Regions from separate parts of the Mus musculus genome. Here regions 1, 2, 3, 5 and 6 are each reported to be linked to region 4. The links are microRNA targets in miRTarBase. Many come from high-throughput screens and were not tested one by one. Region 4 holds a microRNA gene; each other region holds the end of a gene's coding sequence. Distances are between the middles of the regions.
Evidence for each region. Region 4 holds the annotated microRNA mmu-miR-10a-5p (UACCCUGUAGAUCCGAAUUUGUG, at 1,193-1,215, shown strand). A microRNA usually pairs through its seed, bases 2 to 8, with sites in the 3' UTR of a target mRNA and lowers its output. Matches are read on the target gene's strand: a 7mer-m8 pairs with bases 2 to 8, a 7mer-A1 pairs with bases 2 to 7 and ends in A, and an 8mer does both.

Region 1 (4,088 bases), not on the chromosome of region 4:
AATATTACACTAGAGGGAATGATTGGGAAAATACAAATAGATTCATTAAAAACAGACTGATTATTTGTTCTAGTACATTCAGAAATATCCAAAAACAGTTGTTATATTGCAAAGCTGTAATTTTTCCTAGCAAAGCACTGTTTTATAAAATGGTAGTGTTGCCATTGATTCCATTGTAATATAAAACCCTTATATACATAAGACAATATAAAAGTAAACTGGGTAGTGCCCTCCACAAAGGAATATACTAAGGCACTTTACAAATAGACCAATATGTTGACCCAAATTACAGTTTTAGATTCAAAAACAGACTGTTTTACTTTAAATATCAAAGGAATTTTTTTATTAAAGGAAAATTTCTAAAGTACCTTGGGTAACAGCAGCAGCATATCTAAAAACTCCTCCCACTGGGTTTCTAATTTCTAACATATTATTAAATCAGAATAAAACATTTCCACTCACAGTTTTGCACTTCTCAACAGCAGAAGGTAAATAACTTTTTATAAAAGTCAATCTCAAAGTGACTTCTTAGTCATACATTCTATAGTTTCTATTACAAATAGGAAGGTAGGACAGATACAGCAACAGGGCCTGCCTCAGGACATCACTGCACAACATATACCAGTATGTACAAGCACATAATTATAGAGCACATTTTATAAATACCACTGATACACACTGAAGGGGCACGCACAGGAGACGGCGGGTTCTAGGGGAGAGCTGGAGAGCAGCGTCTTTGCCGTTTTAATTAAGTGTCTATGTTTTCTATGCTGTGCTCATTGTTTGCTCAGAAAGCAGCAACTCCTATGCTGGGAGAACTGGGTGTAGTCAGGGGTAAAATAACCAACATGAGCATCCAAAATGTTAAAATTGTGAACAAAATACTAAAATTGCAGATACCGAATCCTTGTATACTGCCTCAGACAAACGCTAGAAGCTTATACTGTCCGAGGGAAGCAAAGAAGGACGTAGAATTAGTGTTTACATTCTGAGGCACCATGGTCGTGGGGAGGGGCAGCACCTTAGCAGTCCTGCGTTGTGAACATGATCCAGGTGTAAAACCACTAAATGAAAATGTCAGTCTGAGTGAAGAGCCCGAAGGTCAGAGGGCTGTCTTTCTGACCTGTGGGAGGGACCCAGGCCAAACCTCCCTCAATGCATGCTTTGCATAGGGCCTTCAGACTTCAGACGCTCCATGCTGTGAAGACTGTCTGGTGACAGCTCTCATCAGGAGCCCTCAGAATCACAAGACACCAGTGCCGTTAGAACAGTGTTATAGACATGTCTGTGTTGTGCTGCTTTCATGTTATAGACATGTCTGTGCTGTGTTGCTTTCACGGGCTCATTCCAAGAGCAGATCATTACTTGTTTACAAACGTGCTCATCTGAGCGCTGTGCAATAAAGTCAAAGGATATCAAAGGTCTTACTTTGATATAGCAATTGACTCACAGGATGTAGGTCTTTAACCTGCTGTCTGGGAAGTTTTATCACACCCAGGGTCTCTTGAGAGTGCATGCAACACTTTCTAATGTATGTGTGGATACACACTTTTTTTCAGTAGGGCCTGAGTTCACATAGTCTTTATCTCAAAATGATCTATGGTCTGAAGGCTCACTTGTACACGTGACAGGTTCCAAGCTCAACATGAAAGTGTAAGCTAATAATGTTTTTCTCTCTCCCCAATTCAAACAAATAGCTTTGCTTTTAATTTTACTATACATATGGTTTTAAACAAATTATCTTTTATAAGAAAGCTAGATAGGTAAACATCATTCCTAGCCACAAACATTAAGTCTGATAAAGCAATTCATGTCAATAAACCTTGAAAAAATGAAATAATATACATACAAACTTTACTAAGGTCAGAGTACAGCCCCATTCTTCTTCCTAAAAGATGTTCCTAAGATGTTTGTTAGGGATCCACAATTCTTCCTTAGAACCTAAACATTATATAAATAGGACATTAATCTTAAATAACTTAGGAAGTTTTCACTTTCTAAACTACTATGTATCTAATTAGGGATGCTCATCCCAATTAAGAGTTAATTAATAATTATTTTTAACCAATTAATCTACTCTTAGGTATAATAGTGCCAAATAGTTACATTTCCTTTGCCAACAATTTGTATTGTAGCACTGTTCTGAAAAAGGAAATCTATAGCATCAATGACACAATCAAGATTGGTCACTGTACAACAAAGGTACCTTTATGTGGCAGGGGCTAGGGACTGAACCCAAGGCTTTGTGTATGTTAGGCAAGTGCTCTACCACTGAGCCATATCCTTAGCCCCTAGAAAATGTACTTTCTTAGTGAGTACATACACGTAAATTAAAAAAAAAAATTACAAACTGAAAATAATTTCTTTACTTAGGAGATGGAAATTTTTCTTCTAATTTTAAGATACAAATATTACAGATCTTAGTTTCAGTTTGAAAATTCAATTCATGGCAACTTTGTTCCCTTTTAAAACTGGAAACAGCTGGGTGTGGTGGCACACACTTTTAATTCCAGCTCTCGGGGGAGGCAGAGTCTGGTGAACCTCTGAGTCTGAGGCCAGCCTGGTCACAGAGCGAGTTCCAGGACAGCCAGGGCTACACAGAGAAACCCTGTCTCAATCCCCTGCCCCCCAAAAAACCAAACCAAAACAAAAAAAAAAAAATCAAAACAAAACAATACCCCCACCCCTCGAAAAAAAACCCAAAACCAAACCAAAACAAAAATCCCAATAAAACAAAAACTGGAAGCAGCATTAATACCAATCTGGAAACAAAACTAGCAGTGCTCTGGCTTCTTTAAAGCCGGTATCTGAAAGAAAAATGCTAGGTTAGGTTGAAGACTTCTGGGGAGGGAAGGGGTAAGCTGCATTATTTCTAGTGAACATATTGTTTTTGCTCTGTATTTGTGATTACAGGATATGACTTCAAGATTAAAATTACTCTAGGAACACCTTACCTTCTAAAACAACGGCTTGATTTCTTTAGCGTATTGGGAACTAAACCCAAAGTTACAAGGGAAATATGGTTATATTTCATATTTGGTTAAAGCAAGATAAAACTGTCTTTCAAAAATCTTCAAAAATTCTTGAATTTTAAAATTATTTATCATATATACAAAAGATACCAGGCTTCTCTTTTTAAACAGAGCACTATTTTTTAAGTACTTTAAGTACCAAGAATTGACTATAATACTCAGTTCATAATTTACTTTCCTTATAACAATTTTTTCTAAATTACTGAATTAAAAGGGTGGAATAAATTAACATTTTAAAACAATTTCCCATAACTTAGGAAAATAAAATATTGTACACAGAGCACACAAACTCTGTCACATTTGCATAATTTTCTCAAAACTTCAAAAACCCCTGCACTTCAGGCCTCTTGCAAATTCTTACAATGATCTCCTAGTTTATTAAACATACACTAGATCTCGGTTGTTTCCATCGGAGCTTGTGTGTTGATCATCTTCATCAGACTGTTGTTCTGAGCCCTGTGAATGAATGTATTCATACTCAATAGGCTTTGGATAATTATATGGGTAGCCATTGTCATCAAAAAACCTCCGAAAGGTGAACTCATAGAAAGCGTGCTCGGGGTGCTTCCCATTTTTATACCATCCGTTCAGAGTGTCACTGATATTTTCCTCCTCGCTGCCATCGCTCCACAATTTATCAGGATCAACAGGGTCGAAATTGGATGTATCTGTTGGATGCGTGATTTTAGGGATGTATGAAGCAGACTGCTGTCTCAGATCACTAGAGAAATCGATGGTCTTAAAAAATGGATGAGCCTTTATCTCATCAGCACCGTTCTTGCCGAGGCGGTCTTCTGGTCCTCGACAAAGTTTGATAATGAGGTCAGAGGCTTCAGGACTCAGCTTAGCTTGAGGAGGGATGTGAAGAGAAGTTTGCCAGTTGATAACCTTTAGAGAAGAGTTTTAAAAATTAGGAAGAGATAAAACACAGTAATTTCCCAGGTTTTGTACCAAATGTCTTCCTGGACTACTTGGTTTTCTAAATGATCTGCCGGGTACTTTACCTTTAATAATAATCACTGCTGAAAACATATACTCTCCTGTCCTCTCCCCGTG
Region 2 (4,088 bases), not on the chromosome of region 4:
TTCTAGAAATGTATATGGGGAAAAAAAGCCTTTCCAAGCCAAGAGGGATGGTGAGAGGCTGGGAGGTTACATCAGCGTTTCTCAGATCTCCCTAGCAGCTGCCATAATTTCCCTGACACCCTTCAAAACTTGAGAATGGAAGGATCAGGGGGCAACCGACACAGATCTGACAAGAGAAGCCTAAACCACATCAAATAGAAATAACACTGTTATTCCTGACTGGTTCACATTAATAGGATTTGTAGTAACTCTGAAGATGCTTGGTAGTTGTGTTTTCAGAATCCTGCCTATTAAAGCTCTGCTGCAGCCTCACAGAGCACTCTCCCCTTCCAACGGCCCAAATGCAAGAGAGCTCTTTATGGTTAATATGTTCCACACTGTTCAAGTCCAACATAAAATTGTTGCAGCATTTTTAGTGTTTTTAAGTTCATGTCCTTAATCAGCATATAACCCACGTAGCAATTCTGACCACAAGTTGTTCCTACAGGGACAGTGTGCTATTGACAGGAAAACATCCACATCTTTGAGCTGCAGAGGTGGCAGGATTTCACTAGTACTGAGGCCATGAGCTAGGATTGGGAGGGTGTATTTTTGAGTTCTAAAGGCAATGTTGTTTGCCAATCAGACTCCATATTGAGCCAGGCTTAGATGGGAACCCAAACAGCTATGAAATCTTACTCTGGATGGGAGGTTTAGCTGTGGTAGAGCACTTGTCTATTTTACACAAGTTTCAGAGATCCATCCCTACCACTCCAGAAATAGAAAGAGAATTATTTTAAATGTTCTCTGCAGAGCTCATGATGGTGGGTTTTTTCCTTTCTTATATGTTTCATTTTATACAGAATAACCAAATGTTTGTGCTCTTGATATTTAAACAATTCAGGTATAACTTTATAAGTTTTCTGTTACAGACATTATATCTTTCTATTTATGTATTTAAATGATAAGTAAGGCAATATATCAAAAGGCAATGCATATAATCATTAAGGTAACAGATCTTTATATCTCTACAGTAGGCAAATCTTTATGTAGATAAAAGAGCAAAGAGCAGAGTATTTAGTATTGCTTAAGTCAAATGCTTAGTAGAAGAAAACGAGAAAGCAATGTAAATTATATATTAAAGTAATTGGAGAATAATGTGGTGGATACTTTATTGCATGAGACCTTGTGAAAGAAAAAGATCTAATCCTAAATATTTCTGTATATGAGTATGTGCACATTCATTATTATAAAAGTATAAGTCTATATTAAAAAGAAATTTACTTTAAAAAAATCTTTGGTAAAGATCCTCTGAGGTGACTCAACAGGAAAGCACTGGGTAGGCTACGAGCAAGGGAGCTCTGCCCTTAACACCTCAGGGAAGAATGGGCAGCATTTTCCTATAAATCTTGCATGTAAACATCTGGTTACAAGTAGTTACATGTAACAAACATGGAGGATGTTATTGCTCTATAGTATAAATATTACATAAACTCTTCCTCTGCTGTCTACATTTCTAGACATTACTCCTGCCCCTTACTTATACTGCACTCTACTTTTGGCTTAAAGACATTTCCTGAAATATTTCACGGTGAGCATTTTAGTCAGTTCAGGCTTGTATTCACCTCGACTGTCTGTTAGCGTTCCTCGAGGTCACCAGCACAGGTGAGCCTTTGATTTGCAGCACAGGGATTCAGAGCTAGAGAGCGCCCACTGAATTCTGAGATCCACAGGCTGCCTCCATGAATCTCAAGAGAAGAGAAGCCAGGTGAGAGCAGGGGGCAAGGGAAAGGCCCCAAAATGCCAGCTTTGGGGATTCTAACAGGCAAACTGCCTGTGGAGAAAGTCAATAAGCCACAGACTGACCCAGAGGGGCTGTGTGACAATGGCCTAAGGGCTTCTTTTAATCACTTTTAAGATGACTTCTATTCAAGTAAAATAAACTTTATGGAATTCCTGAGGCATGGGTTGCAATTTTAAACATGCACAAGTAATTAAACAGGTTTTTTTTTTTTTTTGCTCTAAATGTTAAAATTAAAACTGTCAGACTAGAAAATCATCATGTCATAAAGATTAAAAAAAAAAGAAAAAGACACGGAAGAGCTGGGGATGCTGGGGTGCCAGGGCACATGCCGAGCACATGAGGCCCTAGTTCAACTCCCAGTACTATATAAAAGAGATAAAAAGATATTTGTGGAGTTTAAAAAATTTAAAGTGACTATACTTCTAGAACGGTGTTAGCTATAGAGGGACCTTTATATTATTATTTATACCTTTCTGTAATATTTAAGGTATTCCATAATTTAAAGGTATATATCTGTAGAAGATTTAAAGAAAGCTTTGAGAAATCTCATTCTGAGATACTGACTTTACAATAATGGCCAACTGCAACTGCAAAGCGAGGTGTCTCCTCTTAACGAAGCGAACTGGCTCCAGTTGGCAAGCAAGTGTTTCACTGGCTAATAAGAGTTCGCATAAAGATTCCAGGCAGGCATTCCGCATATTTTTACCTCAGAAAGACAATTTGGTTTTCAGCGATTGTCTTTGAAAGTGTGGTGTGAATGTCACGTTGATGATAGGAAAATGTCTCCTGCAGTATGTACTTGAGTTACAGAGGATTGTAAGAATAATAAACTCTGGTTTCACAATCTTTCCCAGCTTTTTTTTCTCTTTTTTAAAGAAGATGAAACATGGTCCTATAATTTCATTTTATGTGTCCCGATTTGCAATTTTCAGGCAAAAGAGATTTAGGTTTGGGTCACTATAAAGTGAAAGAAAGAAAGATAAGAATTTGATTCATTTTAATACTTATCTTTCTGAAGATAAATATTAATTGCAGTAACCATGCTTATATATTAGGTGAAGTTTCACAGTGCTTTAAGGATGAAGAGTTGGATAGATTTATAAATGTACCAAAAGCAAGCCTGACAGTCTTATATCCAGAGAGTGTGGTGAGCTAACTCTCAGGGTGGGATTGTGGAAATACAACGGGCCTTCCAGATACACCTAGAATTCTGCCTCTTTAGCACAGTGGTGAAACTTGGTTTTATTTCCCCACATTTTAGATATTGGCTAATCAATGTTTTCCAATGAGCCTTGACTGCTGAATTTGGATAGTTGCAGACTAAAGTGGGCTCCTGTTAACTTTTTCAAATAAACTCTTTATAGCTTAACATAGAAAAATATCCCCCTACCATTATTTTAGCAAGAGACGTCAGGGGTGTAGTGCAATGGGAAACTTCACCTTTTCAATACCTGGTAACAGAATGACTGCCTTTTGTAGCCACAGCCAGAGGAAAAGTGACAGACAGGACAAGACTTAAGGCACCTGCAGGCTGGCACATTCACCCAGGAAAAATCATGTGACAGCAAATACCACACTAAAAATCTATTCAACCACATGAGAAGTGAGACAAACATGAGGATTAAAAGTCTCAGGAATGCAGAAGTGAATGGGACGGAGTATAATCTGTGCAAAAATGTGGAAGTCCTTGGAACAAAGGCTCACCAAGGCCTTGCATGATTAAATGTGAAATGTGTATTTGGTAAGAACGTAGACAAATCGTATTCTCTATGCGCTTCTACAGAAAGGTTAATAGCACATGAAGAACAGAGACTATCCTAGTGGTTGAGCTATGCCTCTATTTTTCTACTTCTTCTCTTATCTTTTTCTTGTGTTGCGCTCTTCTTGCTGGCATGCACTCGGCAGCTGAGCTGGCTATTGACTCTACAGGTCAGTGCTTGCCTTGGCCGTCAAGACCCTGATGCGAGCCGAGTTGCAGGTCTTACAGAGAATGTGTCCATCCAAGGGGTAGCAGCCTTGGTTGTCTCCTTCGGACAGAAGACCACCACAGTCCTAAGGAAATGAAGACAGTGATGTAAGTGAACTGAACTACAGGGATAAACCCACTTTCCCCGAGCCTCTTAAGAGGCTTTCATAATGGGGACATTGTACCCCAACACTAGTACAAGTAGTAGCAGATTGTGAATGAAACTAAATTAGAGATTAACAACATAAATGCAATGGTAGCCAGGAGTAGTGGCACATACCTTTAATCCTAGAACTCAGGAAGCAGAGGCAAGTGGACCTCTATGAGTTCAAGGCCAGT
Region 3 (4,088 bases), not on the chromosome of region 4:
TGTGAGGGGAAGAAATGAGAAAATTCACCACATGTATATCAAAATGTATAGAAACAGCAGCTCATAAAAAATAGACACTGAGCCGGACGTGGTCGCGCACGCCTTTAATCCCAGCACTCGGGAGGCAGGGGCAGGTGGATTTCTGAGTTTGAGGCCAGCCTGGTCTACAAAGTGAGTTCTAGGACAGCCAGGGCTACACAGAGAAACCCTGTCTTGAGGAAAACCAAAAACAAAAAACAAACAAACAAAAAAAAGACATTGAAAATAAAAATGAACCAGACCCCTGAGCTAGCAGTTTAGTTATGTTCTATCTGCTGTGTATTTTACCAGATGACATCGGCTACACAGAAATGTGGGGGATGGGGTGATGATCAGTTTTCTATCGGTGGCTGTTTGGGCTTTGTTTCCACCTGCAGCAGATTTTTATCGTCTTTTGGTGACTGAGGACATCTAGTCACTGAAATATGCCCAGTGTTTCTTGGCATACTCTGATCTGCTTTCTGCTTAGAGTTCAGACTGTAAGACAGGCATGTCTAACCTGAACAGTCTATGCAGTCACATGTGACAGAGGATAGCTATGAACGTAGCGCATTACAAAGTTGGAAACTTACTGAAGACACTGAGATGATTTTTTTGAAACTCGTGACTCAGTTTTCAAGAATGAGCTTTGTAAATGTTAACATATCTATAAGGCACACGAATCACTGCTCCTCCTCAGAATGGCTGAGGCCTGGCCCTTTGCAACTCCTTTGAGAAACAAATCATCACGTAAGAAAGACTCGTTTAGACTTTATTTCCAGTATTTGCTTTGCCAAAGTACTACTGTAATGAAATGCTAATAAAATAGGAGTGTGGCTAAACTCATGTACAGTTTATTTACGTAATAATCTAAACTTTAAAACTTAAGAGTGTGAAAATAATTCTTTTGTGACTGAAGTAAAAAACTTAGCTCTATAACCATCCGTGTGCCAACCAAGGGACTTGACTCCCACTTGTAGTCCTTCTCCATGTGACCCTTCTCAGGTACCTCCCCATTTCAGGACCTCCTCTCACAGGTAAACCATTCCAGATCCTCCTGTGCTGTCTCTACCCCCAAGGTCTGTCTACTTCCACTTGACCCCGAACAGCAATAAAATATGCTACTAACATTTTCAGTTGAAAAAGACAGAAAGCATACTTAGGATGGAAGGCGGGCATGCCACAGACTCAAACAGTGATGTGATTCCCCTGGAAAATGTGTCATTTTAAAAGATAAATCTTAGAGAAAGCCATGAGGTGGTCTGTCCAAGATCACATGGGCAAACCAGTGGAGTAACAGAAAACTAGAGCCTATGTGGCTTCCTTCAATGGTCTAATGAATTAGGAAACACAATCTTAAAAAACTGTTTCTTAGATGTACTAGAAAAAAATAACTTCTCAAAAGACTGGTAATACAGCAGAAAGACATGGTAAATAGCTACGGACAAGAGCTTTATCTGAAGGTGGAATTACCTGGCTTCTGCTCAGAGTGCCTGCTATCAGCTCTGTCAAGGTAGTTCTGAAAACTAAATGTGGAATAGGAAGCGGGCCAAGTGCTCCTTAACCATTCTATAACTGAACTGTTTTCTGGGTAAGTATTTTCAAGTTTGCCATCTCTCTACACAGAAAGATATGCACAGGGTAGAATATAGGATCTGAACACAAACTGACTACTTTGTTCACTTCCTGCATGGCTACTGACAAATAACCACACACAGGTTCCAATGTCTGTAAATCAAACACCCAACTCAGATCCACTCCACAAAATACTACCTATGACCTAGACAGATTGCTTTCTCCATATTAAGGCTCTCTATCCCCATCCTCTGTAAAATAAGGCTATGTGGGAAAGCTCACTTAACAGACTTCATAGTGCATCCTCACACAAGGCTAGTCCCTAATAGGTGTCTAGATGCTGGGAGTTCCCAGTGCTGGTAACTAGCAAGAGTGATTCACCATACCTAAACTGCTTACAGACTATGAGTGACTTCTACCACTTGCCTTCCTGTGGGAATGGAACTGCTGTGAAAGGTCACATGAATAGATCTCACTCTATCAAAATCTTGATAGTCTCCAGTGAGCTTTCCTGGGAATTTGTTGTGTTTCTAGTTATACCCCTAAACTAAACAATGCTCCCTGGGATTCCACAGTGTAACCCCTGGTGGCTCCATCTGGCTCCCTCTAGATTCTTCTACATGCCTGTTCTCTGCTGATTTTATCTTTCTTGCTAACACAAATCTTAGTCCTGAGGGCAACCATAGGTTGAGTATTAGAAACTATGGCAAGTCACAGAACCTGGGTATCTTGAGAAATTACCATTTACAAGTACTTAGCTCATAAAACCAGAGTAAGGATTATGTAAGTTATGTACAAAGGGTCAACTCATATAAGCTGTATGTAAATGAGTTATAAGTACTTATCAATACATGCAAAATTATCAACCCAAGAATGTAATACACACTTGTAATCACAGCATGTGGGAGCCTGAGGCAGGAAGACTGTCCACCTGGGCTATGTAGTAAGATTGTCTCAAAAAAAAAATAGTAAAAGTCACACAAAAAGTAATACCATGCCCGGCGTGGTGGTTGTATGCCTTTAATCCCAACACTTGGGAGGCAGAGGCAGGTGGATTTCTGAGTTCGAGGCCAGCCTGGTCTACAAAGTGAGTTCCAGGACAGCCAGGGCTATACAGAGAAACCCTGTCTTGAAAAACCATTTAAAAAAAAAAAAAAAGCAACACCATTACTTTTAAATGACAAATATTATTGACTGCATATCATTGCTAATAAATAACATGCTTATTGAATACAGGACCAGCTCAATTCTAAATATTCACTGGGGTACCGGCTGGGCATAAGAAATATTTGGTTTTTTGGTGGTGGTGGGGTGTTCCAAACAAGATAAATTTTGGTAATATAACTACTATATTACTCAACAACTCTTACATGAAATCAGGAAAGGGAGTAGAGGTAAAAACTGAGAAAACATTTCTTAGAGTAAGAATATTGTATTTTTTTCCCCTTAGAACTAAAATATATAGTTGTACTTGTTTTGCTAAATATTAGCAGCTCAAAAATGTTTCAAAAAAAGTATCTCTAATAGCTGCATAGCATCGTAGAAAAACATTATCTGCTAAGGCCCCACTGCACTGCTCAAAGGGTGGAAAGACTTGAGTTCTCACAACGAGTAGCTCTACTGGGCCACTTTTGGTGGCAAAGGAACAGAGTAAAAATATCAAGAGACCCCAGACTGCAGACTGCCATGGGGAGAGACTCCCTCTGGCCTTGAGTTTCATTACATTCTTATTTTTCTAATATGACCTTCTCTACTTTCTTAAATTTTTTAAGTTCGACAAGTAGTTCCCAGTATTTGAGATACATCCACATGAGCTTCCCATTTTGACGTTTGTTGGTGTTCCAGACATCTCCACAATGCTTATCATGCTTAAATATGTCAGACAAGCCAGCTGCCATTTCTAGGTCAGCAGCCACTGGATCAACAGATGTGCGCACCAGTAAGCTCTTCTCCAGCTCTAGTCGTGCACTACGGGGGATGATCAGGCTACAATAGATATTTTGGCGTTCCTCGAGAGCTTCTCCCACCTCTTTCAGCACATGCTGGGCTCTCCTCTGCCAGTCATCCTCTTCTTGCAGGCAGCTCAAATAGACATTTCTCAGAGGCTGGAGCCGGCTTTTTTCTTGCTTTATCTGAGCCCGTTCCTGTTCGAGAAGTTTCTTTTCTTCTGCCAACTTACGCCCCTGCGAGATGAGGGCTTCTCGAAAACTACTTGTTCTATTTTGCTCTTTTTCCAGTTCCAAAGACAGCTGAGCCACAGCGCGCCGGTGTTCTGAGATCACAGCATGGTATTTGGCTTCAAGATCCTGTTGGAAAGCAGCTGTTCTCTGATGATATGCTTTTCTGGCTTTTTCTATCTCTTTTTGGGATTCCCTAGACCAAATCCAACCTGACACGAATAAAAGAGATGAGGAAGACACGTGAAGAGACATAACTAAAATCCTATGACTACTTAAAGAAAATACGTAACACAGTAATGACAGTATTTTAGTAAA
Region 4 (4,088 bases):
ATGCGTGGGTTTGGCTTGTTTGTGTATGTTCATGAAATTGACTGTGTTGTAATTTACTCAGTAAGGGCAGAAGTATCCCCCAAGCCTAGGGTGTTATAGCGGTGGTGATAGTGAGAAAGACTCTGCTGGACACACTTGCCCTCACCTGGTCACAGCTCTCCCAGTTTAAACTCCAGATCCTCAATTTCTCATTTTTTCAGTTTAGAAAAGTCAAATGTTAGTGGGAGCTTCAGGAAGTTCACCCAAAAACTCCAGAATCCCATTTTGGCCACACAGCCAGCAACCCAAGCAGGTGGATGGGCCCAGTTAGTGAGCCTCTAGACAGAGGATCCTTGCCTGGGGATAAGGTGTGGGTAGGGGGGGTCCTCCTCACACCTCTAGGGGGGTGTCCCCTTATTCCAGCCTCCAGGAGGTATGGGGGGGATATGTGAGGTTGGGAGGGGCCTGCACATCATCTGGCTGCAACTTTTATGGTTCCTCATTGCCCTTCATTCGGAAATGAACTGCCTTTGATCTTCTTCTCAGGTTGTAAACGGAATTGCCCGTCATTAAATATGGGGGGGGGGGCCATCTGTTTGGTCTCCCAGCATTTTTCCTCACAGCTGTTTTTCTCTCTCTTTTTAGCATTCACTTTTTCCAAAAGGACTTTTATTACACCCCCTTCACACCCAGACACCTCTCCCTCCTCCCTTTGCTTTGGAAAATATCTATATATGTGTTTGATCACAAACTAAAGGCTGTGGGGGCAAGGGAGGAACCTATTTGGGGTTTTGTATTTTTTCTTAAAAAAAAAAAAGTCATGGGGGGAGGGGAGGGGCCGAGGGCACCCAGAAAGGCCTGATTCTGACTTCGAGGCAGCCTCGGGATGACCCTTCCTTCTTTTGTGCTTAGCTAATGTTTACATCTAATAATTCATGCGCCACCGAAAGTCGCGCGGCAGCCACGAGGTTCGAGTCCCTTTGCACAACAGCTGCCTTTTTAAAAAATCTTATTTTATTTTTTGAATAGAAAGTTGAAACCCCTTGTAATCCCAAGAACGGACCCACAGTGACTTTTCTGCTCCCAGATCTCAAAATTAAAACAAAACGAAATAAAAATGAAAACATTCAGATCACACCCAAAAGAAGAACGCACGGAAAGTAAGAGAACTGGAAATTTCCTGGGCCAAGAAGACCTGTCTGTCTTCTGTATATACCCTGTAGATCCGAATTTGTGTAAGGAATTTTGTGGTCACAAATTCGTATCTAGGGGAATATGTAGTTGACATAAACACTCCGCTCATATTCTTTCCCAGAAGAAAAATAGATTATTTTCTAAATGAGGACAATCCAGTGACTGCCTTCAAGAAGACTCCTTTTCTTTTCCTCCCTCAACCAATGAGGGAGAAATCTCATCTACCTGAGGTGTCCCCATGCACACCCCTGGAAGCTTGGGTCCTTGTTCACTCAAGAGATTAATGTTACTGGTGTTTTAAAATTTATCTTTAAGCCCCAACCTACCTATTCTTATTCTGGGTCCAGGGGGCTTTATTGGAAATCATGAGGAGGAAAAAAAGATTGCTGAAGGCTGCAGTGTGCAAAGGCAAAGGAAATTTGCTTTTTAAAAGGATGCGAAGATTGCTGTTTCGTTGAATTCAAGACAAGATGCCCTGAAAACATAAGGTTGCCATGGGTGTTCTTGTGCGTGTGATGTTGGTGGGGGCGTCACAGCTAGGGCTCCTTTACTTAGTATTCAAGGTTGTGAAATTTCTTTCTGCCACACTGACAGAGGCGGCGGCTTTAGCGGCAATTAGAACTCTTGGTTAGCATTGCTTCGACGAATCTGGAATTAGCAAATTACTATTCAATTGGTTTTAGGAACTTGCGGGTTTGGTTTGGTTTCATTGTATCTTCTGTCTTTAGTGGAGGGAGTCCAGCCGTTCCTCTGACCTTGGGCCTTGTGGGTTAAAGGGAGGGAGTGTTGAGGAGGACAGACTGACGGACACAGCCGATGCTCATAGTGCAGCTAAATGCGATTTGGAAGGCGAAGTCTCCCCGAATTAGTGCGTGAATTTCCTATCGATCTGCTCGCGGTTCCATTCATCTCTGACAAGTCCCTCTGCGCACCCGCCTTCTAGCTCCCGACGCCTCCTCACTCACCTCCTACCCCTCCCCATCTGGCTGCACTGAGAAGCCCCAAGCTCAGCGCCCCTATGACCTAGTGGGTACCCATTTCAAGAAGGCGCTCCCTGGTCGGCCAACCACTTAAAACCCCACACAGACACCTAGTGCGTGAGCTCCCTCTTATCCTGGGGAGGAGATGGGGCCCTATGGGAGTCAGAGAAAGGTTGGTGGAGATTAGGTAGGGCAGGGGTGGGGGCTACACCCGCAGCCCCAACTTCTGAGGGATGCAGGGTTTGTGCTCTGCCCAGCCCCCTCACCCCCAAACAGGCCCTCCAATTAACCTGCTCACTCTTTCTTAGTTCATCACCCCTCTCTGTTGTGGAGAAAGCCAGGCGAGGAGGGGGTCTCCCCGCGGGAGCCCTATGTAAATCCTGGTGTTGGGTGGGTGGGGAGGGGTAGAGAAGGGGAAATAAACCTCTTTGGCTGGAGTAGGGTCCGGGTGAGCAGATTTCCTTATCCGGGAATCGCAGGCCGGGTGGCCATTGGCTCGGAGGATCACGTGGGCCTCTAACTTTGTTCACTTGACAGTAAGTAGGAGGGCTTTCGGAAACAGGAAAACGAGTCAGGGGTCGGAATAAATTTTAGTATATTTTGTGGGCAATTCCCAGAAATTAATGGCTATGAGTTCCTTTTTGATCAACTCAAACTATGTCGACCCCAAGTTCCCTCCGTGCGAGGAGTATTCACAGAGCGATTACCTACCCAGCGACCACTCGCCCGGGTACTACGCCGGCGGCCAGAGGCGAGAGAGCGGCTTCCAGCCGGAGGCGGCCTTTGGGCGCCGGGCGCCGTGCACTGTGCAGCGCTACGCGGCCTGCCGAGACCCCGGGCCCCCGCCACCTCCGCCGCCCCCGCCGCCCCCGCCACCGCCCGGGCTGTCCCCTCGGGCTCCAGTGCAGCCAACAGCCGGGGCCCTCCTCCCGGAGCCCGGGCAGCGCAGCGAGGCGGTCAGCAGCAGCCCCCCGCCGCCTCCCTGCGCCCAGAACCCCCTGCATCCCAGCCCGTCCCACTCCGCGTGCAAAGAGCCCGTCGTCTACCCCTGGATGCGCAAAGTTCACGTGAGCACGGGTGAGTGCGTGGGCACCCCTTCCCCTCCCACCCCCGGCGCTTTACAGTGAAGGGACCTCCGAGGCATGTGGGGGAGGGAGCGAGGGGAAGCCAATTGTCCCCGCTATAAACTCGCCATTGCCAGAGATTTACGGTCTCCTGTTTTCAGAGCCACATAATTACATCGCCCATAAATTTTTATGGCCTAGTGGGCCCTGCGCCTTTGAAGTCATCCTCTTCTTCATTCTCCCAGCGACTTTTTCGCCAGGGATTCGCAGTCCCAGTAAAGTTGGAAGTTGGGGAGGGGTGTGGGAGGAGGGGAGGAGAAGGAAGAGGAGGAGGTAATCCCTATTTAAGCACAGAGTTGAATCAACTTCCTGGATTTCTTTTTTTTTTTTTTTTCCCCTTTCTTCCAATCTGGTACCTTGGCTGGAGAAGTAGGCAAAAGTTTTTACTAAGGGGAAGGCGCTGCTTGGAATCTGAGCAGTGAGGGTGGGAACTAAGCCGGGGAAAGGTCTAGGGCAACACCCCCTCCCACTACCCCACGCCATTGGGGTCCTCAAGCCAAAGAGTGAGATGAAAATCTTTCCAAGATTCCTCACAGTGCCCCTCCCCCAGGCAACAAGGACAACAGTACAGCCCTCCAAAAGTTTGAGTTTTTTTTTTTTTTTTCTTTCACGGGTCTTCCTTTTTCGACCCCCTCCCTCCAAGATGAGGTAGTGGGAGCAGGAGGCTCGGTGTTAGCTGGAAGGAAGAAAGGGTTTCCCTCCTCCCTTTCGGGGGCAATAAAACTTTCTCTTTCTCCCTCTCTCTCTGTGTGTGTCCAGTAAACCCCAATTACGCCGGCGGGGAGCCCAAGCGCTCTCGGACCGCCTACAC
Region 5 (4,088 bases), 16 Mb from region 4:
CCAGGCTCACCAATGCTGAGCCATTATACCAGTGGACAGATGAAAAAAAAATGTCCCGGCAATGTAGCATGACCACAGAGATACCAGGGCCTTCGGACAGAGCTGTGCCTTTCTTAGGGTCTCCTAGCAGAACTCCTCTCAACATTCAGGTGACAGGCCAAACATCTTCTCTTGAGACGCCCTGTCTGACATTTCCTCAAGAGGCCCTCTTGGGGATGCCCTGCCTTGTGCCCAGCTTGGATTTTTCTATTGTTTTTTTTTTGCCTCATTCCTGAAACTCTCAATGAAATGGCCTTGTGAGTGTAATTAATTGATGATTTATCGCCAAGCCCCATAGACTCTTGAGATAGTTTTGTCTCCCTGATTGCTGCCCTTGGCCTCATGACAGTGAATGAGTTAATGGACGCTGGGTGGCCAACCTGTGTGCCGGATCTCTCCCCAGCCCCTGCCGGGACCATGCTATGATGTGTCTCTGTCTCCTCCCTTTGCAGTGAGTATGGAGTTCGGAAGGGCTGTATGGCTCCGTTTCCACCCATCGGCTTATCCCCCGTGCCCCCACCCAAGCTTTGTGGCACACTTGGGTGGCGTGGCCGTGGGCATCACCCTGGGCGTGGTGGTTCTCAGAAATTACGAGCAGAGGCTGCAGGACCAGTCGCTGTGGTGGATCTTTGTGACCATGTACACCATCTTCGTGCTGTTTGCTGTCTTCTGGAACATCTTTGCCTACACACTGCTGGACTTGAAGCTGCCACCCGCCCCCTAAGGGACCAGAGGTCCAAGGCAGGGCGGGGAAACAGAAGCATCCCGAGAAAGTACCTGCATCTGCTTCTCATCTCCAATTCAGTGAAAGCAGGGAGAACCGGAGACTGTTGGAGCTGGGGGGTGCGTGTTGCTTTGAAAGGATGGTGGGGAGATGGATGTGGCTGCTGTCATCTTTCTAGGCTGGTCTGATGATATGGAGTCATGGGTAAGGTCTGAGGCAGGGTAAGAGTGGCTGTCCCTGTGGCTTGGGCTTGTCCCATGCATTCCCTCTCACTGCCACAGAGTGAGCAAATAGCCCTCTTCCCTAGTCTCCACCTGGAGAGACACAGAGAAGTTCTGAGGATAGCCACAGCCAGGCTTGCCACGGCCCAGAGGTGACTGTAGGCTAGGCCACATTCTCTTTGCAGCTCAAGGTCTGGTGCTCTGGCAATGGATGTGATGGCTTTGATCCGGGGGAGCCCAGAGCAAGCCAGGCTCCAGTCCTGTCAGTGGTGCTATGGCATTGCTCCTAGGGCTGGGCAGGGAGATGCTATAAGCTCCAGGCCTTTTTCTTGCCCTAGGGGAGGGCCCTGTGCTGAGGTAATGACTTTCTTCATCCCAGGTTCCCCCAAGAGAGTTCCAGGACGGTTTCTTCTTCCTGCCTGTAGTCACGAGTCAGCATTCCAGACCATCGCTCTGCATCCATGCCCTATCTGGACTGTGGGGTCTCTTCTTTCCTTTCTACTGCCCTGACCCTACTTTGTGCCTCTCTCTTTGGGTGTGGAGACAGGGTTTTGTGTGTGTGTGTGTGTGTGTGTGTGTGTGTGTGTGTGTGTGTGCAATGTCAGGCAAGTCAGAAGCTGCAGAGGGAAGAAGTGGGAGACAATGTACACAAGAGGATATCTACAGGGGATTTCTGGAATGGGTAGCAGCAGTGTGCTCTCCAGTGCTCGCTCAGTGGCCTTGCCTTTAGCATCATGCACCCCCTTTCCCATCTTGCCCTCCCAAACACCTGCTGAGCACCACTGACTGGTGGAAAAACTGTCGAGCTAGAGGGAAGACCAAAGCACTACCAGACATTTGAGAGAAAACTCTCAGCTGTATTCTTCTGGTTCTCTTGGGGGTAGCTTTTGTGTCTGTACTGCCGCCTGTAGAAGGAAGTCTTTGGGATGAAAGAAAGCCCAGGACAGTGATACTGTGGCCATCTCTCCATGTGAATTAGTGGGACAAGAAGCTGTAGTAAAATATATTTTGGTGGAAAACGTAGCCTCTGAGAAGAATTGGGGAAGCTTGGGTGAGGGAATGTCCCCAGTGAGAGCAGCTGAGGGTTAGATGGCTCCATCTACAGGGACTTGGAAGTACTCTTACAGGGAAGTGAGATTGGGGGGCGTGGCCTTGTGCTGTCCATACCCCAGCAGCCTGGGATGCCACATCAGGTGTTTGGCAAGGTAACTGTAGACTCAGAGCCCAGTGCCTCTGCTCCTCTGAGACAGTCTACTCAGGCTGGCACGAGACGCTTCTGGGGACCCTAAGTGGAGGCTGTGAGGCAGGTGACCTTTATAGGGACTTTCAGCCCCTGGGATAAGGAACCACAGGTCTGAGATTGGAGGGAGGCAGGAGGATGAGAACTGCTCCTGGTCCTCTCACCATCCCAGCAATACCTCCCAGCTCATCTCCATTCTCCTGAGTCCCTCAGCCCTTCCTCTCTCCAATGTGGCCACCCATCAGGGCTGGGAGTCACTCCTCATGCTGGAGGCTGTAGGTTGGCCTCAAAGGCTGGGGAATCCCCAAACAGCAGCTATGTAGACTAGCTTGCATTTAAAGGGGAGAAGACTCATGGAAACCAGACAAGGGAAAACGGGCTTTCAAAAAAAGAGGAATTTCTCTTTAATGATACCATTCATCACTTGATTTTTTTTTTTTTAATTAGGAGAAGCTCCCTAACCGGGCTCTTTAAATTCTGCATTTCCATGTGAACCATTCTTGCCTAGAGCATTAGTGGAGGCATCGCTCACCGAACCCAGATCTTCCTCTAGTGTCCAATTCAGTTTGCAGATAATGAGGTTTACCCAGTGCTGTGTGCTTCCCAGGGCTGGCTGCAAATCGTTGACTCTCCTCTGCCTTAAAAACAGTGCCCGTCAGTGAGCTGCCCTCCCAGGACTAAGTGAAAATCAAAACACTAGCCGCGACGTTGGTTTCTAGATATTTTTGTATTGTGTACATTCTGTATATTTTTGTTGTAACATATTATTTGAGCACAGATTCCATTAAAGATTTTTTTAAGCTGTTGGTTATTCAGGGAGTGACCTCAAGGGCTGCCATGCTACCTGCTTTGCCTGTGTCTGGTTCATGGTGGGTGGGGAGAGTGAAAACGGGCAGTGGTGGGTGGGTGGCTCTGGCACTGGTGGTTGGCACTGTCTTCCTTAACCTTCTCAGAGTGGTTGGTGAACACTGAAGGTTCTTTCCATGAAAACACACCCACTGGGCTGGAGAGATGGCTCAGCGGTTAAGAGAACCGACTGCTCTTCCTGAGTTCAAATCCCAGCAACCACATGGTGCCTCACAACCATCTGTAATGTGATCTGATGTCCTCTTCTAGTGTGTCTGAAGACAGCTACAATGTACTTACATATAATAAATAAATAAATCTTAAAAAAAAAAAAAAAAGAAAGAAAAGAAAAAAAGAAAACACCCACATAGGTCGCTTCCCGGACAGTTTTCGAGGTGGGTGCCAGCAGATAGAGAGGAGTCTCAGCCCCCTGTCCCCTCAGGCCTATTTTTCCCTTCCATTCATCTAGTTCTAAGTACCTCCCTCCAAGTCGCTCTAGGGATGGACAGTTGGCCACAGAATGAAGAAATGACAAATACGTGGATTCAAGAATGGAAAATCTGGGATTGAGTGGATGTGGATGGAGAAGCCCCAGCCCTGCCCCACGAGCTCAAAGTGTTTATATATACTGTTGGACAGGCAACTCAGGTTGTGGTATCCAGATGAACAGGAAGGCAAGTGTAGCTAACCTCGTAGACACAGTCTCTGTAGGGACGCAGTCTTCAGGCCATAAACATGTGGAGGGGCAAAATTACGGTAGACATTCTCTGCACACTATCTATATTCACACACAGACCAGAGGAAACCTTTCCCATCTCTCCAAGTCTCTTCCAGGGAAGGCATTGCTGCTCCTGTGGGGATGACACACTGGGGTCTTTGACATGGCCTTGTCTTTGTCAACAACACATCTACTCAGGAATATATATATATATATATATATGTATATATATATATATATATATATATATATATACACATACACATATATACATACATGTGTGTATATATATGTGTGCAT
Region 6 (4,088 bases), 43 Mb from region 4:
ACAATTTTCCAACGCAGGCCTGTTGGCAGTGAAAGGCAAGCTAGCCTTTTCCTTCTTAGCTAGCCAGAATTTCTTTCTGACAGAAGCAAAAGGCTCAGTTCCAGCCTTCAAGCCCAACAGGGACATTGCCCATCAGAGCCAGGCCAAGTCCTGGTATCTAGACTGGAGCTTGTGCGAGCTCCCTAGGCTGCCGGTGGCCACGGTGTGGGTGGAAGCTTCCATGATAAGGGAACAGTGCCATCTGCTGGCGGTGTATCGCAGGGCCAACGAACGCATCAGGTTCCAAGTACCCCCCAAAAGTCTTGAAGTCTGCGATGCTCTGCTGTGAATTCTTGAGTGCCCTCAAAAGAAACCACCGATTGGACAGGATAAAAACTGAGGCAAGAACGAGACAAGATCAGGCTGGACCCAAGGACCAGCTCTGGAACTGTGACTCAAAAACTGTCAGGGTTGAGCACGGAAATCTCGTTATTTCCCCTTCGAAAAATCTGGCGCAGAACCAAGGTTTGTTCTAGCCTAAAGATGGCAGTCGTCCCTATACCCACCCATAAGCCAGAAATGCTTTGAAATACACACTTTCCATTGGCTGAGTGGACAGTGTTAGGTGTGTTTCTAAGAATATCATAACAGAAGCATGATGTTTCAAATGGGAATTGCGTAGGGCAACAGGCAGAGATCAGCAGCTTCCACGCAGAAGGCTCCTCCAAGAGACCTTAGTGCCCGGACCCTGCCCACAGGGTTCAAGGCGACACAAGGAAAGCATAACGTTAGACCTGCAATGGCCTCAGCAGGAGCCCCATATGCGTTTTATAAAATATCACAATGAGAACATTGTTCTGTGCTCAATAGCCCGACTGTTGCAACTGATGCCTTTAGTATGAATAGGGCCATTTACAGTTCTCAGCCATTTGCACTTAGTGACAATACACATCAGAAAACAAGCCCAGAAGCAGAGATTTTTTTCGCTCTGAGGCCCATTGGCTTTAAATACACATACACGCGCCCTTTAATGTGCCCAACTTCCAAAAATACCCTGAGCCTTTGAGAGAAAATATTCTTATCCCTGCTGTTTGCAACTGATATACTGACTCGGGTCTCATGTTAATTTGCAAAGCTGGTTGTCTGTACATAGGGCTGAACAAATGGAGCCGGTTTTGTCCTGTGTTTTGGACCATCACATACCACCCCAGGATCAGTCTTCTCTAAATACAGTACAAGCCCTAGCTGCCTTTCTGGGACTTCAGGCCTCATCTTCATCTGTAACTCATGGTTCTCAAGAAAAACCTTCCACACAGCCTGGCAAATGCTATGATGACAGACTCTAACTTCAGCAGACTTTCTTTCTTTCTTTCTTTCTTTCTTTCTTTCTTTCTTTCTTTCTTTCTTTCTATATTTATTTTGGAGGCATAGTTAGTTGGTAAGGGTCAGACAAAACCATGTGTTTGTGTATGGGTGTGTGACTGCCACAGCATTTGTGTTGGGTCAAAAGACAATTTCTGGGGCTTGAGAGATGGCTCAGCGGTTAAGAGCATGGACTGCTCTTTCAAAGGTTCTGTGTTCAATTCCCAGCAACCACATGGTGGCTCACAACCATCTGTAATCTGTAATGGGATCTGATGCCCTCTTCTGGTGTGTCTGAGGACAGCAGCAGTGTACTCATACATAAAAGAATAAATAAATTACAAAAAAAGAAAAAGAAAGAAAGACAACTTCTGGGAGTTGGTTCTTCTGTGGAATCTGGGGTTTGAACTCAGGTTATCAGACTTCTATAGCAAATGCTTTTGTGTGGTGATCCAGTTACCAGGGCAGTTAGCAATTGCTGGGGTGGGGGTGGGGGTCAGTGGAATGCCCCTCAGCCCCTCCTGCTTTCAAACCTGGTTCTCCAGTCTCTTCAGACATTGCTGAGCCAGACTGACACTTTACCAAGTCTCTCTTCCATTTTGGTCAGCCTGGACTGTTGCTGGAGTTTGTCAATCTCACACACACACACACACACACACACACACACAGAGAGAGAGAGAGAGAGAGAGAGAGAGAGAGAGAGAGAGAGAGTGTTAGTTTCCCTTGTCGGCTGCAGGCAATGCATGCTCCTCTTAGAGAGTTTATTAGAATATAAAATGCAATGCTTGTTTATACCTTAAGCTTCTTCTCTCTTGACCCTCCTGCCTCCCACCAACTCTGACAGAGGGACTCGCCATCACACGGGAGTGTGCAGGGTTTATAATCCTTCCTCATGCTTTTTTTTTTTTTTTTTTTTTTGGTTTTGTTCTTTGGTTTTTTTGTTTTTGTTGTTGTTGTTTTTGTTTGTTTGTTTGTTTTTGTTTTGTTTTATGAGACAGGGTTTTTCTGTGTAGCCCTGGCTGTCCTGGAACTCACTCTGTAGACCAGGCTGGCCTTGAACTCAGAGATCTGCCTGCCTCTGCCTCCCAAGTGCTGGGATTAAAGGCGTGCACCACTACGCCCGGCTTGTGCTTTGTTTTTGTGGTCGCTCTATGAGGGCTTGAACCCAGACTCTCACACATGGCAAGCAAGCACTCTACAGCTCTATCTGTAGCCCTCTCTTTAAGTTACTTTTATATTTATTTGTTTATTTAGGGGTGTTGTGCCTGCATGTATGTCTGTGCATTACCTGTGTGCAAACCAGAGAGTGTCAGATTCCCTGGAACTGGAGTTACAGACGGGTGTGGGCCATATACCATAGATGCGTGAAATAAAACCCAGGTCCTCTGGCAGAACAGCACGTGATCTTAACTGCTGGTCCATCTCTTCACACACACACACACCCCCAACCCTGTATCCCCAACTCCCACCCCTGCAGACTTCTTTTTTCTGTCTTTTGTGGAGGCAGACCTCCCCCAACCCTGTATACCTAACCCGAAACCCTGCAGCCCTCTTTTTACGTCTTATTTTGAGGGAGAGTCTCCTAAGTTGTCCAGGCTGGCTTTGAGTTCCCTTTGTAGCCCGGATAGACCTTACACTTGAAATCTTCAGCTTCCCATATAGCGGGGAGTACAGCTACACCACCAGGCCAGGCTTTGAATACTGCAGTTTTTACGACCCACAAATTCCCAAAGAATTACAAACTTGAATAAGGTCACAGGAGAACACCGTGGGAAGATGTGTCCTAGGAAGGCCTGGTCTGACTCCTCCCTACTCCCTCAAGGGAAAGCTCTCTATAAAGCATCGCCCCAGTTGTGGGTGAGCCTGGGACAATGTTCCCACCTCCGCTACATGTAACTAGATAAGGGTAGCAAGAAAAGGTTGTTTGTTTAGAGGACGGATTGCTGGGGCCCAGGTCAGTCTGGGAGAAAGGGGATGATGGCTGAGGTCGCTCCAGATAGTGTCCAGTTGGTCCTTAAGGAACCGGATTCGATCGTCCAGGCTGCGCTGCTGTGACAGGATCCTGGCCTTGGAGGCCAGCAGCACACAATAGGAGCGCAGATGCTCTGCGGGCAGCTCCCGCTCCAACACCTGACGCAGGGTTTGCTCCCGCCGAGCCACGTGCTCCTTCAGCTCCTTAGCTTCTTCTTGCTGTCGCTGCAGAAGTTGGAGTCGCTGCAGCAGAGAGGCCTGGAACCACCGGGAGAGGGCGCAGTGAACACCGTTGCTTCCCGGATGATCCGGGCGGTAGAAGGAAGGCCCCTCCAAACCCTGCTCTTCCCCCAACCTCAACCTATTTTACCCTCTCATCAGGGTCGCTGTTTGAGCCCGCCCTAGCCAAGGCGAGGTTTACACGGACCAGGCGACTGCCTAGCAGCAGCAGCAGACCAAGCACACGCTCTAGATCAGTCATGAACCGGCGGAACCGTTCCAGCTCCCGGGGTGTACAGGCCTGGCTCACAGCAGCCTCTAGAGCTCCGTTGCGTTGGGTCCAGTCTGCGGCGGTCCCCCGCAGTCGCTCCTGCTCAGCGTGAAGATCCTGCAGCATCTTTTGGAGGAGGCGGGCTAGTTCCACCTACCGGGAGGGCCTAAGTATTCAAAAACTGGGCCAAGTCTGGATTTCTCCAACCAGACACTAAGCCGCGGCCCCACCCAGCTTCCATCCCCCTACCCACCCCACCCCTTCCCCCACTCACTTTCTTGGCCTG

Region 1: the mRNA of Lats1 is a reported target of mmu-miR-10a-5p. Seed matches in the 3' UTR shown: 7mer-m8 at 2,606-2,612.
Region 2: the mRNA of Lpp is a reported target of mmu-miR-10a-5p. The part of its 3' UTR that is shown has no 7-base or 8-base seed match.
Region 3: miRTarBase lists Ccdc127 as a target of mmu-miR-10a-5p. Seed matches in the 3' UTR shown: 7mer-m8 at 2,715-2,721.
Region 5: miRTarBase lists Rhbdl3 as a target of mmu-miR-10a-5p. Seed matches in the 3' UTR shown: 7mer-A1 at 981-987 and 7mer-m8 at 1,528-1,534.
Region 6: the mRNA of Shroom1 is a reported target of mmu-miR-10a-5p. Seed matches in the 3' UTR shown: 7mer-m8 at 2,859-2,865 and 7mer-m8 at 2,789-2,795.

The regions. Positions count from the first base shown.
Region 1 is chr10:7,712,333-7,716,420 of GRCm38, reverse strand. Lats1 (large tumor suppressor) reads right to left here. Exons shown (of 8, transcript NM_010690.1): 8 at 1-3,920. The coding sequence ends at 3,411. Among named protein-coding and RNA genes, the nearest start is that of Katna1, 12 kb to the left of the region's middle.
Region 2 is chr16:24,978,940-24,983,027 of GRCm38, reverse strand. Lpp (LIM domain containing preferred translocation partner in lipoma) reads right to left here. Exons shown (of 13, transcript NM_178665.5): 13 at 1-3,835. The coding sequence ends at 3,707. Among named protein-coding and RNA genes, the nearest start is that of Gm52245, 40 kb to the right of the region's middle.
Region 3 is chr13:74,356,350-74,360,437 of GRCm38, reverse strand. It overlaps Ccdc127 (coiled-coil domain containing 127), which reads right to left. Exons shown (of 3, transcript NM_001168659.1): 3 at 770-3,982. The coding sequence ends at 3,321. Lrrc14b (leucine rich repeat containing 14B) reads left to right here. Exons shown (of 2, transcript NM_001033042.3): 2 at 1-856. Among named protein-coding and RNA genes, the nearest start is that of Lrrc14b, 5.6 kb to the left of the region's middle.
Region 4 is chr11:96,315,994-96,320,081 of GRCm38, forward strand. It overlaps Mir10a (microRNA 10a), which reads left to right and starts at 1,172; the gene lies at 1,172-1,281. Hoxb4 (homeobox B4) reads left to right here and starts at 2,274. Exons shown (of 2, transcript NM_010459.7): 1 at 2,274-3,230; 2 at 4,037-4,088. The coding sequence starts at 2,777. It also overlaps a transcript of Hoxb3 not described here.
Region 5 is chr11:80,352,921-80,357,008 of GRCm38, forward strand. It overlaps Rhbdl3 (rhomboid like 3), which reads left to right. Exons shown (of 9, transcript NM_139228.3): 9 at 492-3,066. The coding sequence ends at 763. Among named protein-coding and RNA genes, the nearest start is that of 5730455P16Rik, 23 kb to the right of the region's middle.
Region 6 is chr11:53,466,245-53,470,332 of GRCm38, reverse strand. It overlaps Shroom1 (shroom family member 1), which reads right to left. Exons shown (of 8, transcript NM_027917.3): 6 at 4,077-4,088; 7 at 3,683-3,955; 8 at 2,567-3,570. The coding sequence ends at 3,238. Among named protein-coding and RNA genes, the nearest start is that of Shroom1, 11 kb to the right of the region's middle.